2 linked regions of the Oreochromis niloticus genome follow. The protein of the gene in region 1 purifies or fractionates together with the protein of each later gene. This does not show direct contact. Links are inferred from orthologs where the notes say so. Each region holds a gene or a part of one and is shown in the gene's direction. Other genes may lie near its edges.

Region 1 (7,943 bases):
GCACCTAAAACTTAAGTAATGCCTATGATAATTGCAAATATGCAGTGATTGAGGGAAGTTGTCACATTGCCATAGTGCCAACAGTTTGTCTCCATCCTATAGCTTTTCACCGAGTTCTCTCCCTGAATGTTAGAACAAGGTCACGTGTGTTTCTGCTGTTCAGTAATACTGCTATGTTACTGTAACAAATGGGAATTAAACATGGAGCCTCCACTGAAAGCAGAAGAGTTTATTACAAAACTTGCATAGGTTGTTGATGTATTCAGGGTAGTAAACTCACTTTTCACAGTAGGCTGAGCAATTTTAAGCTTGTTTATCCTATCTGAGCCTCTGCCAAATGACCAAGACACCCCTTGGATTAAGCTCATTTCTGCCAGTCATTCCTTCTGTTTCTACCCACACATTTGACCATAGATAAGATTAGGAAGGTGTCTCAACTGCTAAACTGACACCTCCACTTTCAGTTCTCTAGACCATGAAAACCTGGTACAACATCCACAATACAGCAATGTTACAAAAGCAATTACCCCAGAGCAATCTGGAGGTCAAAAGCTAATGAAGTCAACAGAAGCACATTATCTGCAAAAAAAACAAAGATGTTTTTCAACAAAGCCCACCAAATTGGAGACTCCACCATCTGGCTATGTCTAAATATTCTGTTCATAAAAACTATGAATCTGTGACAAAGGGCAGCCCTGGAAGAGACCAATACACACTGGAAATGAATCTGACTTACTGTATTCAATACAAACCAAGCTCTTGCTGCATTTGTACAGGGACCGAATGGCCTGTAACAACTGGCCAGACACTCTATAGATACCCCACACAGCATGTCCTGACATATGCAGACAAATAGATTTTCCAGGTCCACAAAACACATGCAAACTGATTGGACAAATTCCTATGCACACTTTAATAATGAATGGGTGCAATGTTCTGTGACTAGGACGAAAACAACATTGTGCCTCCTGAATGCATGGTTTTACTAACAGACGGACTCTCGTAAGATTACTTTGGTAATTTAAAGCCACCGCCAGACCTCCATGCAACATTTCAGAGACATGTCAGCTAGGATAACCCCACAACATCCAGGGTGAATCTCATCCACCCCAGCTACCCTACCACGGAGCAGTTATTCAACTCAATCAGTGACCTCACCTCAAGTGATAAGCAAGTCATCCCCTCAGCCTCACTCTTCTTCCATACAGAAAACATGACAGTGGGATTGAGGTATTCCCTAAATCAGGGGTCGGCAACCTGCGGCTCCGGAGCCGCATGCGGTTCTTTAGTCCTTATAGTGCGGCTCCGCGTGGTTTGGGCAAATAAATTAGAAGTATTTAGCTGAAGTGTATTTTATTTATGTTAGTTCTTTTTACTCGTAGTTCTAAATTGGAAGATTATTGTGATATTGAAATATAAAAATAAAATTATATTCTATTATTTTTTCATCGCTCAAAATAAGAGTCACCCTCGCGGAAGCCGGTATACCCGCAGAAACGCCGTGCATTTATCGAGACTTTCAACCCCAGGTAGGCCAATTATGGATCTTCGGATCCACATTATGTCAGCAGCTGTTCTCCACCGTGAACTATGTTAAAGACAAACACTGTTCACGCCTGACAGATGACAGCTTACAGTCCTGCGTAAACTGACTTCGTATAGCCCCGATTTGCGGACTCTGTGCGCAGAGGTTCAGGAGCAGAAGTCCCATTGTAGTCAAAGGAATTTGCAAAGAAAAGCGTCTGGACTTCTTTAAGTTGCTTGAAGACGTTTCACCTCTCATCCGAGAAGCTTCTTCAGTTCTAAGGTCAAATGGCCGAGAGTCCCAGATTTAAACCCAGTGGGAGTATCCCCCCAAAGAGGGACAAAGGACCCCCTGGTGATCCTCTAATCACATGAGCCAAGGTGTGAAAGCGGGTGTGGGACCTAATCAGCCAGGGTTTCGGGTGAGCTCATTGTGAAACCTGGCCCCACCTTGTTATGTGAATTCCTGAGGTCAGATGGCCCAGGATGTGAGTGGGCGTTAAGGCGTCTGGGGAGGGAACTCAAAACTGGATTATAGATGGCAGACAGTTGGTGTCGTAAACCACCGCCTCTGTTCAAAGATGGTCGCTCACAGTGGACATAGATGGCCTCTTTCACTCCTCTTTCAAACCATCTGTCCTCTCTGTCCAAAATGTGAACATTGGCATCCTCGAAAGAGTGACCTTTATCCTTAAGATGCAGATGGACTGCTGAGTCTTGTCCTGTGGAGGTGGCTCTTCTATGTTGTGCCATGTGCTTGTGAAGTGGCTGTTTGGTCTCTCCAATGTAGAGGTCTGGGCATTCCTCGCTGCACTGTACAGCATACACCACGTTGTTAAGTCTGTGTTTTGGAGTTTTGTCTTTCGGGTGAACCAGTTTGTGTCTGAGTGTGTTGCTGGGTCTGAAGTACACTGGGATGTCGTGCTTGGAGAAAACTCTCCTGAGTTTCTCTGATACACCGGCTACATAGGGGATGACAACATTGTTGCGTCTGTCTTTCTTATCCTCCCTCGCTGGTGTCTGATCTTCTTTTCTGTGCCTCTTTGCTGACTTTATGAACGCCCAGTTAGGATAACCACATGTTTTGAGTGCTTCCTTTACGTGTGTGTGTTCCTTCTTTTTTCCCTCAGGCTTAGAGGGAACATGTTCTGCCCGGTGGTGTAGGGTCCTAATTACTCCAAGTTTGTGTTCCAGAGGGTGATGGGAGTCAAAGAGGAGGTACTGGTCCGTGTGTGTGGGCTTCCGGTAAACTTCGATGTTGAGGTTGCCATTCTCTTCAATGTGCACGGCGCAGTCCAGGAAAGGCAAACAGTTATCCTTTGTGTCTTCCCTGGTGAACTTGATGTTTTTATCCACAGCGTTAATGTGCGCAGTGAAGGATTCCACTTCTTGTGTCTTGATTTTGACCCAGGTGTCATCTACATATCTGTACCAGTGGCTGGGTGCTCTTCCTTTGAAAGAGCCAAGAGCCTTCCTTTCCACTTCCTCCATGTAAAGGTTGGCTACAATAGGTGACACGGGGGAGCCCATGGCACAGCCATGTTTTTGTCTGTAGAAGCCTTCGTTGTATTTGAAGTATGTTGTGGTAAGGCAGAGGTCTAACAGTGTGCAGATCTGATCGGGTGTGAAGTTGGTCCTGTCTTCCAAGGAGCTGTCTTCTTGTAGTCGTTTTCTGACAGTCTCCACTGTTTCCGTGGTGGGTATGCACGTGAAGAGAGAGACTACATCAAAGGACACCATGGTTTCATCTGGATCCAGGGTAAGTTTCTGGACCTTGTCGGTGAAGTCGGTGGAGTTCTTGATGTGGTGTGGGGTGTTCCCCACGAGAGGTGCAAGGATGGTAGCAAGGTGTTTCGTCCTGTGATGAAAGTCATCCTGTGATGAAAGGATGAAAGTCTCAGCCACCCTCTCCAGTGCGAAAGTCCCTCCGATATAAGGGTGGCGGCTGACAGTTTTTGTTTGCTACATGGATCATTCTAGTTCAGGTTGGTGTCTTTCCTTTTGTTATATTTCTTTAAGAGTTCAAAATGTGTTGATTACATAAATATAATTTAATTTTCTCTGTAGCACTTCATGGATTTCATAAGCAGCACACCTTAGTTGTTCACACAAAGCATAAAGATAAAAAACAATATATACAGTGTTATCTTCATTTTAGATGTCAAAAAGTATTTGCGGCTCCCAGTGTTTTCTTTTGCGTGGAAACCAGGTCCAAATGGCTCTTTGGGTGTAAAAGGCTGCAGACCCCTGCCCTAAGTGTTCCTTCCACTGCCTTACCTATGTCCTCAGTTGAGGTCAGTGAAATCCCACCACCGCTTTGAGACCAAAAGTCTTGTTCAGTGGTCTCACCAACTCCTCCCACACCAGAGTTTTTAGGTCAGCCACACTCCACTTGACCTGCTGGTCTGTTAGCTACTTCTGGATTCCCACAGGCTAACCAAGCCTGATAAGACGTCTTTTTCAACCTGATAGCCTCCTTCAACTTCTGTGATTACTGCCACAACAGGCACCAATGACCTTGCAGTCACAGCATTTTGCAGTTGCCTCAACAATAGAGGTGTGGAACATGGTCCACTCAGACTCACTGTCCCCACCCTCCCTCAGAATGCAATCGAAGTCTTGTCAGAGGTGGGAATTGAAGATCTGGAGGACTGCCAGATGTCCCCAATGCTTGCTCACTATACGTTTCAGTATGCCATGTCTGGCTAGCATCTTCCCCTGCCATCTGATCCAATTCACCACCAGGTGGTGATCAGTTGACAGTGTAGAAGCTCTTTTTAAGTGTCCAAGACATATGGCCGCAGATCTGTTGCTATGTGAACTTGTGAACAGCATGGTGTTTGTTATGAACAAACTTTGGAAAATATAGGAAAATATATTGGTCCTAACACCTAGAATACCTATAAATATTTATACTTACTTTTATATATTTACTTTTACTTTTCTACCTTTACTTCTGCTTTACTTTTATATATTTATACTTCTGCATTACATCTACACCTTAGTTAAGTTGTAACTGCAAACCCTTCTGAAACCCTACCTCATAACCTATGGGTAACGTGATGTGTACCTCTAGTAATCTAACTACACATGGCTGTTTGATGCAGGGACACTAGCAAACGGCCACTTGCACATGCTACGCCTTGGCTCTACATACTACATAAGTATAAATTCAACTTTAAGGGAGATGTGGGAGCTGTTTTGGGACATCTGTAAATTAAAATCCTCGCCGCGCTAATATTCAGTGTGTTATCTATTATTTTTTAATGATATTTATGTGAGAGCTTGTGATTTATAAGTCGTAATATATACACTTATTGTGAATAATTAAAAATATTAATGATAAAATGAAGCGAATAGCTTTTGAACATTGGCATTTCCGAGGCAGATGGCGACCTCTGAAGGCAGCGGGCTCAATCGCCTCAGCTCTCCATTTCAGTCCGGTCTGCTGTGTTTTGCGGGCCGCCGTCCACTCTGACCTCTTAAGACTCGTTGAGAAGAAATGGGAGCACCTTGACGTAACTCCCGGCACAAACGGCTCTGTACCCTGTATTTGTCCCAGAAGAATTATTCATACACCTGTCGATCGTCTCTTTGTCAAAAAGAGCAAAAACGGTGAGTGAATCGTTCTGCTGGTGACCTGAAGATCGAGGCCGTTGTCGCTTGAGTTTTGTGTCCGCTGTTTCACCGTGGCCTCTCGGCTCTCTTGGAACTCGAGTCCGGTGGTTTCCTTTAGAAGTCCGAGGCCGCATGTATAGTTGGTTGGCAAAGCAAGCATAAAATACAGGTATAAATTATTTTAATGGTTAAAATTTTTTTGGGGGACAAGACGCTTCAGTTGTTAGTAGGGAAAAAGCTTTTTTGTTGTTAAAGTCTGCTTGTTTTTGGAAGCTAACGTGGTGCTAAGGCCATCTAATCGGCTAATATTAGCCGGCTTTCCGGGTTTCGGTACATGAAATTACTTTTATATTGAGGGACAAACAATTGTATGACTTAATTGAAAGCGGCTGAGTCTGAGGTTGGGGGATTATGGAGATTTTTTAAGCTTTATTTCGGTTTATCGGCCTGACATCGGCCGATGCTTTACATTAGCGAATCTGGAAGTAAAGCTACTCACCCGACTATAAAACTGTATGTACCCGACTGGACAGCTAACTCTAAGGCTTATCGCTTCCAATAACATAGCTGTTCTATGTCCTCTTAAGTTGATTTGTGTGAATAATTAGGCTCCGTATGGCTCGTCAAATAATAAAAACTGCGGTCATACGATTAGCTCTCTCGGATATGGCTGAACGTGTTTGTTTTCCATTAGTCATAACAAAGCTTTTTTTGCCCGACTTTTTAACATTGTGTAAATATAAAGTATAAAAGTTTGAGTTCAACATGGGAACATTTAAATGTTGATTTCTTGTGTTACTACATCAACATTTGTTTTTATATCATTGTTTTGTTTTATTTACCTAATGGTCACTTCTCTTACCAGTTTGCTGTGTAACTGTTATGTGTAACTTTTATTAGGTTGGTGTACCGTAACTGTTTCACAATATTGTGAGCGTGACAGCTGTTCTGTAGGTTTAAATCATGTTAAGCGAACTTTGCCGAATTACTGAGTAATAAATGTCCATATTTTAATTTCTGTCTTTCAGGTTTAAGAAATGCTTTATGGAGCGCTTACATTCTTTTAACCTTGTCTCAGGTATCCACTCCTCATTGGAAAAGCTATGTTTCGGCTAGATGGTTTCAACAAAATCAGTTGGTACAGTCTACGCGAAAGTAGTTTTTTGTGATTAGATAATTTAACTAAGTTTTACAGGTGTGTGTTCTCCAGTATGTGTTGGTGTTAAATTAGTTTTCTTTTTAGTCCTACCCACATTTCCCTAAGCAGCTTTTCCATTTGCCAGATCGCTGTAAGTACAATAAGAATTGGTTGTTAATACTTGCCTGGTTAAATGCTGCCCCATTTACCTCTGAAGTTGGATGTCAGAACTGTGAGTGAGGTCACTTCCAAATTGATTATTTCATTTGTAGTCAGATTTTCTCAGTTTCTAATAGAATTTTTAACTGGAATGCCCCCTCAAGTCTGACTTACGGTGCATTCCTGAATAAGTTGTAATTCCTGAGTTCTTAGTCGGAATTTAAATTTGGAACACCTAATCGAAAACCCAGCAACTGCCAAGTTAACAATCCATGGCAGTCCTGAACGTGTGCAGTAGTAAAACTTTTCATATGTGCTGCCAGTATTGTGTCTTTGTGGCTCATTAAAATAACAGCTAGTTGCTAATAAAATGATAATGTTAATGTAGGAGCAAGGCAGCAAATGTTACCATTTGTAACATTAATACACTGTTAATTCAACAGGGTAACAGTAATTTGTGTCTAACAGTCTACCAGCAACTAGACAGAAATGGCAGCAACCTACCTTACTAACTCTATTTGACCATCGATGAAAATATGGTGTCAGCTCACCATAAGCACAGCACCACCTCAGACAAACTAAAAAAATTTTTTTCAACTGTATAAGAGAATTGTTTTATCATTTAAGTAGTATTGCGTATTTTCCTGGGTATCAGTTATCTAGTTGGAAATTGTACTTTCATGACAAAACTAGCAGGCCCATGTGTGACTTTGAGGCAAGGCATTCGGAAAGCATGCTGTTTAAATGATGTGATGATTTCGCCTACTTGATTCACCACACATGTATGCCAGTGTATTAATTCTGCAGACCCTCTGAAGCACCCATTAGCTGTCATTCACATGGATGTGATGACATGTTGTTTTGTATTTTCCTTTATTTTGTATAGCATTTTTTCTTTTCTTTGCTAAATTAACTTCTGTATATTGTTTACATGATCAAAATAAATTTACAAACTAACAATTAATAACAACTAATAATTAATCATTATTACATTTTTCTGCTCCATACAAATATGATGTAATTCTTGGTTGTAATATGTTTACTGGAGATGCTGATGAAGGCTGCAAGCACATTATCAGTAAGGCTACGTTCACACTGCAGGCGAAAGCGCATCAAATCCAATTTTTTTGACCCTATGCGACCCATATCCGATCATGGTATGACAGTGTGAACGGCACAAATCCGATATTTTCAAATCCAATCTGGGTCACTTTCGTATGTGGTACTGAATCCGATACATATCCGATGTTTTAGAAAGTGACTGCTGTTTGAACGGTCATGTCGCATTAAATCCGTCTTTTACGTCACTGACACAAGACAGACGCCAATTATCAGCGCCGGAGAAGCGCCCGAGAGGACATCGCGAACGCTTCCTGGCCATCCAGTGTAGATGTCAGTGAAACTGTTGGGAAGACAACGTTGGAGAAACGTGAACATTTTATTTGTACTGTATAATCTGCAGATTCTGACAGAAATCTGCAACTATCCTTTGAAACACCGATCC
Region 2 (7,787 bases), on another chromosome or scaffold:
ATGCTTTGATTTCTTTTTAGCTTCCTTTTCAGTATTTATTTCTGCTTGGAGGGTTTCTTATAATTTAGTTAATGCATTTTCCCTCCCACGTGGGACATTTAGTTTTCTTTGGATTTCTCCATCTATATGCACTAATTTGTCCGGCGCCTAGACATTTCTTTTCTAGCCACTGCTCGTCAGCAGTGAGTTTTGTTGCTTTATTTCCCATTATTAGTTTATGCTTCTTTTAGCGCTTAGTAATACACACACACCTGCGGCGCTTTCACTGGCACGAGAACAGAGAGAGGTAGCTGACACGCCCTTCTACTTTCAGCTATTCTTGAAAGCGGTGTCACCTTTACGTGATAAAACACGACCTTCCTCTCAGCTCACCAGTACTTCAGCGACCAACAGTAAACAAATCAGTGGAATAGTTCAGCCTCCTTATTGTGCTGTAAAAATCAACTTATTCCACCAAAAAAGACAATAAAAGACAGACAGTTTTAACGCGCGTTCACGCTACCAGCCTCTTAAGGCGAGCGTACTGCTTCCAGCCACTGTGGGCGAGCTAGGCCTATTTTACCCTTTCGGGGAGCTACCAATCACTTATGACGAGCTCAATCTTTATTTTAGTGCTTCCAACCCTCTGCGGGCGAGCTGACTACCAGTCCTCAAGACGAGCTTAATGCTTCCAGTCTCTCTTGGACGAGTCTATTTCTTTTAAGTTTCGTTTTCGTTTTTGCGCAAACCTTTATTATCTCAAAGTAGTCTGTCTTACCTTGGCGCTGGTTTCTTGAGATGCACCTGATCAGCCCCCGACGGTGCGGACCGCTTGTAAAACGTTGACCAAGACCCGAATTCACGCTCTTGGGTTTTATCACACACCTAGTATGTGAGCTGCCGGCAGACTTCAACGTGGGCTTCTCGCACCGACGGGACCTGGTGAGGTGCTTTCTGTGAGAGCTGCTTTAAATAGGCTGTCTCATCCGGCTTCGAAGGACCAAGAAATGTTAGGGGAAATCTCCCAAATAGAAGGCTGCCAAAGTAAAACAGAGACACAGTGAGACAATATAATCAATCACATGTACATGGGGTGAGCGTCTCAAGAGACAGTCACACCAGTACTCTTCTTTATTGCAGTTTATATAGGCATGTAGGTTACACAGCAGACGGAGGCAGTCTCCGCCTGTTCTCAGAATATAGATTGCTTAACTGACAAATGCATATCTTACTAAACATTCTGTCCGTACTATACTAAACGTCTGCTTAAGTGGAACTTTCCGTTGCTCTTTGCACAGGAACTTGTCTTCACAGGCATTTGATAAGCATAGGCAAGGCTTCATGTTTATCAGAGTGAATCGTCATTCAGAGTTTACACAATCACAAGCAAAGCATATTTGAATAATAAACAAAATCTTTTCACAGTTATGTTGGTTCCCCTTCCGTGTCTAGTCTGCCCTAGTTGTGTCTCTGTGTTTGCTCTTCATCTCTGTTCTTGTTTACCTTCAGTCTCCCCAGTTTGTCATAACTCCATGCCCATTTGTCCCCAGTCCTAGTGTAAAGTTCTCATGTCATAGTATGAGTCTTGGTGTGCACGTGTTACTTCCAGTTTTATTTTTGATAGTCCCCTGTCTCATATATGCACATAAGACATGTTCAGTTTTGCTTCCCCTGTCATGTAAGTCAGATTCAATTCACCTGTGTTCCCTTGTGTGTTCCATCTTCTTGATTACCTCATGTGTATTTAAGCCCTTACTTTCCTTCAGTGCCTTGTTGTGCACTCCCCTCATGTTGTGTGTTTGCCTGTCCAACCTGGCTGGACTGGTAAGGTAATCTGGCATTCTCGGCCAGTGCACAGTGGCCAATCATTTGATGCATCGTCAGTTGAAGGGCCACATTTATGATTCATACATTTTTATTACCAACACTGTTTTGCCCAAATCTCTTAAAACACCGGGCCCCTCCCCTACCTTCACCATGTGCTCACGCACCTAGCACAACAGAGTTTAATGTGGAAGAAGTAGCTGAAAAACTAAGACAGAAAAAACAACCTAAAAAATAAATGCAGCAAAATGTGTCAAATGAACCGACTGTCAACAGTAGTACTCATAACAACTAATAAGCCCTCGTAGTCACAGGACGCTGCTGTTGCTAGCAGGGCTTTAATAGTTTTGCAATTTTCATTAGTTTTTATTTTTATTTCGTTTTGACTTCAGATTTTCAATTTTATATTAGTTTTAATTAGTTTTTAACAATTGTTTGCTAGTTTAGTTTAGTTTTTATTTTTTGGAAAATCCTTAGTTTCAGTTTAGTTTTGATTAGTTTCAGTTATAGTTTTAGTTGTGTTTGCAATAAAGTGTAACAAAATCCCAGTTTCATCATATCAGTCATTCTCTTCTGCTTATCCTTGGGTATGTTGCTATTCCAGCTACCATACTCTGCACCCTGCACAGGTCGCCTGTCTGTCGCAGGGCTAACACGCAGAGACAGACAACTCACGTTGCCACCTATGGGTTCTTTAAATAAATAAATAAAGGCAGATGAACAACCATTGATACCAGGCAACTATAAAATGTATATCTTGGCCCCAATGAGACTATTAACTCTTGCAGCACCGGGTGTTAAGGCAATTGACTCACACAGTTATGTAGATATCCCAGTCCTGTTGTCTCGGGATGCATCACGCTGCCTTGCCTGGTGTTAGCTTCTGTTTCTGGGGATGAGGGTTGGGCGTGCTCCCTTACCTTCTCAAGGTAAGCTAGGTTAGCCTTCTTGTGTGAGCTTTTCAAGTGCACTTTAAGGTTTGTGGGATTTTTTTCCTTTTAGAAATGTCCCTCATAATTTGTCTCTTTCCACTACAAGACACTTGCTTTATCCAAAACACAGTCATATTCAAAGTAATCCCAAATTGGACTCTGGTGCTTTCTCCAGACTTTTCCTGACATGATTCTGCGCGTGGACGGAGCAGCAACACAGACGACTCGACTAACGTACTGCCACCTGCTGGCATAATGAGACACAGCAAGAAAAAAACCTGGAAACTAAACTTAATTTTCACCCTTGACTATTGTATGACACGCACACATCAACGAAAACTAAACGCCTTTTTGCTATAAATTCAGTTAATTTTAGTTAGTTTTGTGAACACTCATTACAGTTTTAGTTAGTTTTCCTTTTTTTGTTTTTATTTTTATTTCCGTTAACGAAAATGTTTTTTCACTTCTAGTTTTCGTTATTTCGTTAGTTTTCGTTAACGATAATAACCTTGGTTGCTAGTACCAGCCGTGGAAAAGTACAGGAGGAAGGATTAGTGATGAGGCCTGGTAGAGTCATTGTGTTGATACTGTGTTGGTGTTTGGCTCAATAGCACCATCTGCAGGATTAAAAAAACATTGATGGCAATCTTAATAAACAATGTGGAGAGACTGAACTTCAGTCTGACTACTGGACATCAAATGAGTGATGAATGGTCCTGTTTAAATAACCAGCTAATGATGAAGTGCCAAATGAATAAAAGAAAAGTGTCTATTTTCATTCATTTCACACTGACCAGCTGCATCACTGCATGGTACGGCAGCACTACTGCTGTGGACCGCAAACGCCTACAGAGAGTGATAACAACTGTGGAGAAGATCATCAGGACTCCGCTGCCCTCTCTGCAGAGCATCTACCATCGCAGAGTCCAGAGGAGAGCTGCCTCCATCCTCAAAGACCCCACACACCCCCAACACAGACTGTTAACAACTCCTTCTTTCCCACTGCTATCAGGCTCCTGAACAGCTGACCTATTTTTGAACAGTAATAATAATTTTTTGCACATAAGGTCATCCTGCATATTAAGCCAGCATATTAAGCTCATAGCTCTTTTGCACACATCTCTGTTTCACACTTCAATAATGTCTTCTTTTTTGTCTTCATTTATTTATTTGTACTATTTGTATTTTATGTTCTATTTCTATTGTATATATTAATTGGCATCTGTGTGTGGACAGCAAAGAAGGAATTTCATTGCACAGAGAAATGCCTTTTTTTTCTTTGGACACCTGACAATAAACACTTTGAATCATAAAGCAAAACTCAGGGAAGCAGAGGCATATGAAAAGTAAGTAAAACAAGATGTCCATAACTGAGGCTCTAGAAACTGCCAAACAAAGACTTACAGCTCTGGGAACTATAGTAGTAATATACCATGGAAGCAGAGGGCAAGAAAATAAATGGCCAGTTTGGATCCAAAGATCCATTCAGTGTGTACACTCAGCTACAAGGGAAAAATGTCACAAGGGCAGACCAGTGGGAATAACAATCAGGATGCAAGATACCTCCAGAAGATAAGACAGGTGTTGAGAGCAGTGGGAATAAAATCCAACAGTTCAAGCCTGTACCCTTTCAGTTTATCACCCAGGTTAAACTGATTACCATCACAGATCTGACTAAAAAACAAAACAAAACCAAAAAAATCTGCCCAAGGTTAGTGGTTAGCACTATGGCCTCACAGCAAGAATTTTTGGGGTTTACGTTGTTTAAATCCACCAGCTGGCCACGTGTCTGCGTGGGTTCTCTCTGGGTACTCCTGCTTAATCCAAAAGTCCAAAGACATGTCTGTGTCTCTATGTATGTAGCATCCTATATTTAGCTCTCAAGTTGTTTTTCCTCTTTTTTTAAAATATTTTTTTAACGGCTAGCCTTTGTTTTACTTGAGTTTCAGTTCACAATAAAAGCTTTTTGTTGTGAAAGATTTAGCCGTCCTTGTATAATAGGAACCGTTTTGTACACGGTAGGTGGCAGTGATGCGCCAGATCAAAAAAAAAACAAAAAAAAAACCCACCACGAAAAAGAAGTGCAAAGTTCAACAGGAAGTCATCCTCGTGTTTTTGTGGTGTAGTTACGGCACTGAGACAGGTGCGCACATACCAGAAAGTGGTTAAGACACCTTTTTCGGAGAAGTCATCTCATTGAACAGGTGAGTAAATATTGGTGGAGAGTCGGTGGTGGTAATGTGCTCCTGTCGTCATCGTCACCGTTACAAACGTATGATTTTAGCTGCTGTTAGCTTCAGTGTTTGCGCTAAAATGCGTGAAATTTCCGAGCTGGTTTCTGCCCAGTACGTTTATTTCGGAACAGCGCAGCGCCACCGTGCAAACACTGAATGATGTAGCAGCTATTTTAGATTCAGTGTGCGTTTAGTATCGCTAGTAATCTGCGTGGTTAGGTAAACACGTGACTTCACAACGCTAGCCGGCTAATGGCTAGCTCTGTATGCTAGCTTCCATGCTAATATCCATATACAGACGGGTCATTAAAAATAGTGACGTCATCACACGTCTGAAAAGTAAATGTATAAACATTACACGTGTTTTTTTTTTTTAAATATACATTTTATGGTTATCACATAAAACAATGGTGAATGTTTGTACATGAATACGTCGTTTTTTCAGTTAATCTTACATTTAAAATTGAGATTTTAAGGCCTAATCGTTACCGGTATCGTTAAGAAGCATCAGAAAGGGTAAACAAAGTAAAACATTTGTTAACAAATTAGACTTAACTAACTCCAGAGAAGCAACTTCCTTTCAAATAAAATGTGTATGGTTAAACAGCTCTACATTGAGACGCCTTTGATTTTTGTGCTATGTGCTGAAAGTAAACCTTATTTAAATCTACAGGTCCCAATGGCCTCGTACACTTGCATCAGCTGCCGAGTAGCTTTCGCAGATGGCGAGGTGCAGCGTGCACACTATAAAACCGACTGGCATCGGTACAACTTGAAGCGGAAGGTGGCCGACATGCCCCCCGTCACTGCTGAAAACTTCCAGGAACGTGTCCTGGCTCAGAGGTCCGCTGCTGACCAGCAGCTGACTGATGCATCAGCCACTGAGTACTGCACCATCTGCAACAAGAAGTTCTCCAGCGCCAACGCTTACCAGAACCACCTGCAGTCCCACAAACACCAACAGGCCGAAAAGCAGACCCTACTCGCTGCCCAGAGGAGAGTGGAGAAGATGAATGAGAAGAACCTGGAGAAGGGGCTCAGTGATGAAAAGGTAGATAATGACGCAAGGAATGAGGCCCTGCAACAGGCGCTGAAAGAACAGCAGAGATCGAGCCCTGCCCAGCAAGACCATGCACAGACCTCACAAGGAGCAACAAAGCAGAGGACTGAGAAGCTGGATAAACCTCCCAGGATGATGTGGCTGGAGGAGCAAGCCAAGAGGCGAGAAAGAGAAGAAGGTGGCACAGCTGGTGAAGGTGAGTGGATTAAATGAAATAAAAAGCATTTCTCAACTGTCTGAATTTCTTGCCACACCCACAGAACATTATAAACTGAAGGCTGACAGCAACACTTGCACTTAATTTAGAGGGGGGAAAAAAGCAGTAAAAATGTCATGTTGTCTTAGTTTGAATGTATTTCCATAAAAATGTTGTAGAAGACTGGGAGGATGTAGATGAAGATGATGAGGGCGATGATGGTGATGAGATGGAGGCGGATGATGAAGAGGAGGTGATGGATCAGGAGGAAGGCGAGTCCACTGCTCTGTCTGATACCCAACCTCCCGCTCTACCCGGTTCCATCCCCATCACTGACTGCTTATTCTGTTCCCACCACTCCAAGTCCCTCATGAAGAACGTCACACACATGACCAAAGTCCACAGTTTCTTCATCCCTGATGTGGAGTTCCTCATAGATCTGAAGGGCCTCATCCGTTACCTCGGTGAGTTTTGACTGTAAAATTGCAGCAGCAAGGCTTGTATTGATATAATGGTGTAGTTACAGAAAGATGTGGTCAGGATCATCACATACATGAAAAAGCAAACACTCTTTTGCACATGAATGTTTTCTTTTGTGCTCTAACAATTTTTAAAAAAAAATTTCTTTGTTTTACAGGAGAAAAAGTTGGTGCTGGGAACGTGTGCTTATGGTGTAACGAAAAGGGGCGTTCGTTTTACTCAACAGAAGCAGTACAGAGTCACATGTTAGACAAAAGCCACTGTAAGCTCTTCACAGATGGCGATGCCGCCCTGGAGTTTGCAGACTTCTATGACTTCAGGTAATAAAGACATTTAACCAGAGCCTCTCTTTAATGCTTAGCAATTAGTGGTCCTTTTTTGTTTAGTGGGAATAGATATAATGCATCTTGCTTCGTTAAACCCATCAAAGGCTCATTGATTTTCACTTTTCTTTTGCCAACAGGAGTAGTTACCCTGACAGAAAAGAGGGGGAGGATGCTGAAATGGATGATGAAGAGTTGGCTGATGACAAGAACCTGGAATATGACGACGAGACGATGGAGCTGACGCTCCCTTCAGGTGACTTGACATGAGATTAGTTTTTATAATTGGAGATCCTGGTCAAGTCTTAAATGTATGTAAAGGAATTATATGAAATGCTTGCCCTATAAGCCACAACTCTAAACTTTTCATGGCTAACATAAAAATCGGCACCGATGTGGTTTTTAGTTGGTAATGGGTCACATAGATTCAGCCTGCAATGCTGATTGTCCAAATTAGAGGTGGGCGATATGACCCAAAATTCATATCTCGATATTTTTTAGCTGGATGGCGATATAAGATATATATCTCGATATTTTTTAAAGCCATAAAGTAAGAACAAACAGAGAGTTCTTAGTCAAAGCTGTGTCCCAGATGTCACACGGGCACTTTTATTAACATACAGCATAGATGTACATGAAAAAACTACTCAAAAATAAATTATGAGCATTTATTAAATAATGATGCTCTATAAATAAAAGAAGACTATGTTGTTTTGTGCATAACAAAGAGCTCACAATTGTGCAGTCAAAATGTAAATT

What was found. The genes of interacting proteins can lie anywhere in the genome.
Region 2: the proteins of hectd1 (region 1) and znf622 purify together in Homo sapiens (affinity purification with mass spectrometry; 4 studies listed by BioGRID, with this or other methods). This does not show direct contact. The link is inferred for Oreochromis niloticus from reciprocal best matches to the Homo sapiens genes HECTD1 and ZNF622.

What each region holds. Positions count from the first base shown.
Region 1 is NC_031983.2:3,635,481-3,643,423, forward strand, and holds the start of hectd1 (E3 ubiquitin-protein ligase HECTD1), read left to right. Parts: upstream 1-4,936; 5' UTR 4,937-5,139; intron 5,140-5,167; exon of another isoform or gene 5,168-5,311; intron 5,312-7,943. UniProt on the Homo sapiens protein: E3 ubiquitin-protein ligase which accepts ubiquitin from an E2 ubiquitin-conjugating enzyme in the form of a thioester and then directly transfers the ubiquitin to targeted substrates.
Region 2 is NC_031982.2:32,333,048-32,340,834, forward strand, and holds the start of znf622 (zinc finger protein 622), read left to right. Parts: upstream 1-4,784; 5' UTR 4,785-4,939; intron 4,940-5,642; 5' UTR 5,643-5,648; coding exon 5,649-6,225; intron 6,226-6,404; coding exon 6,405-6,689; intron 6,690-6,862; coding exon 6,863-7,025; intron 7,026-7,168; coding exon 7,169-7,284; intron 7,285-7,787. UniProt on the Homo sapiens protein: Pre-60S-associated cytoplasmic factor involved in the cytoplasmic maturation of the 60S subunit.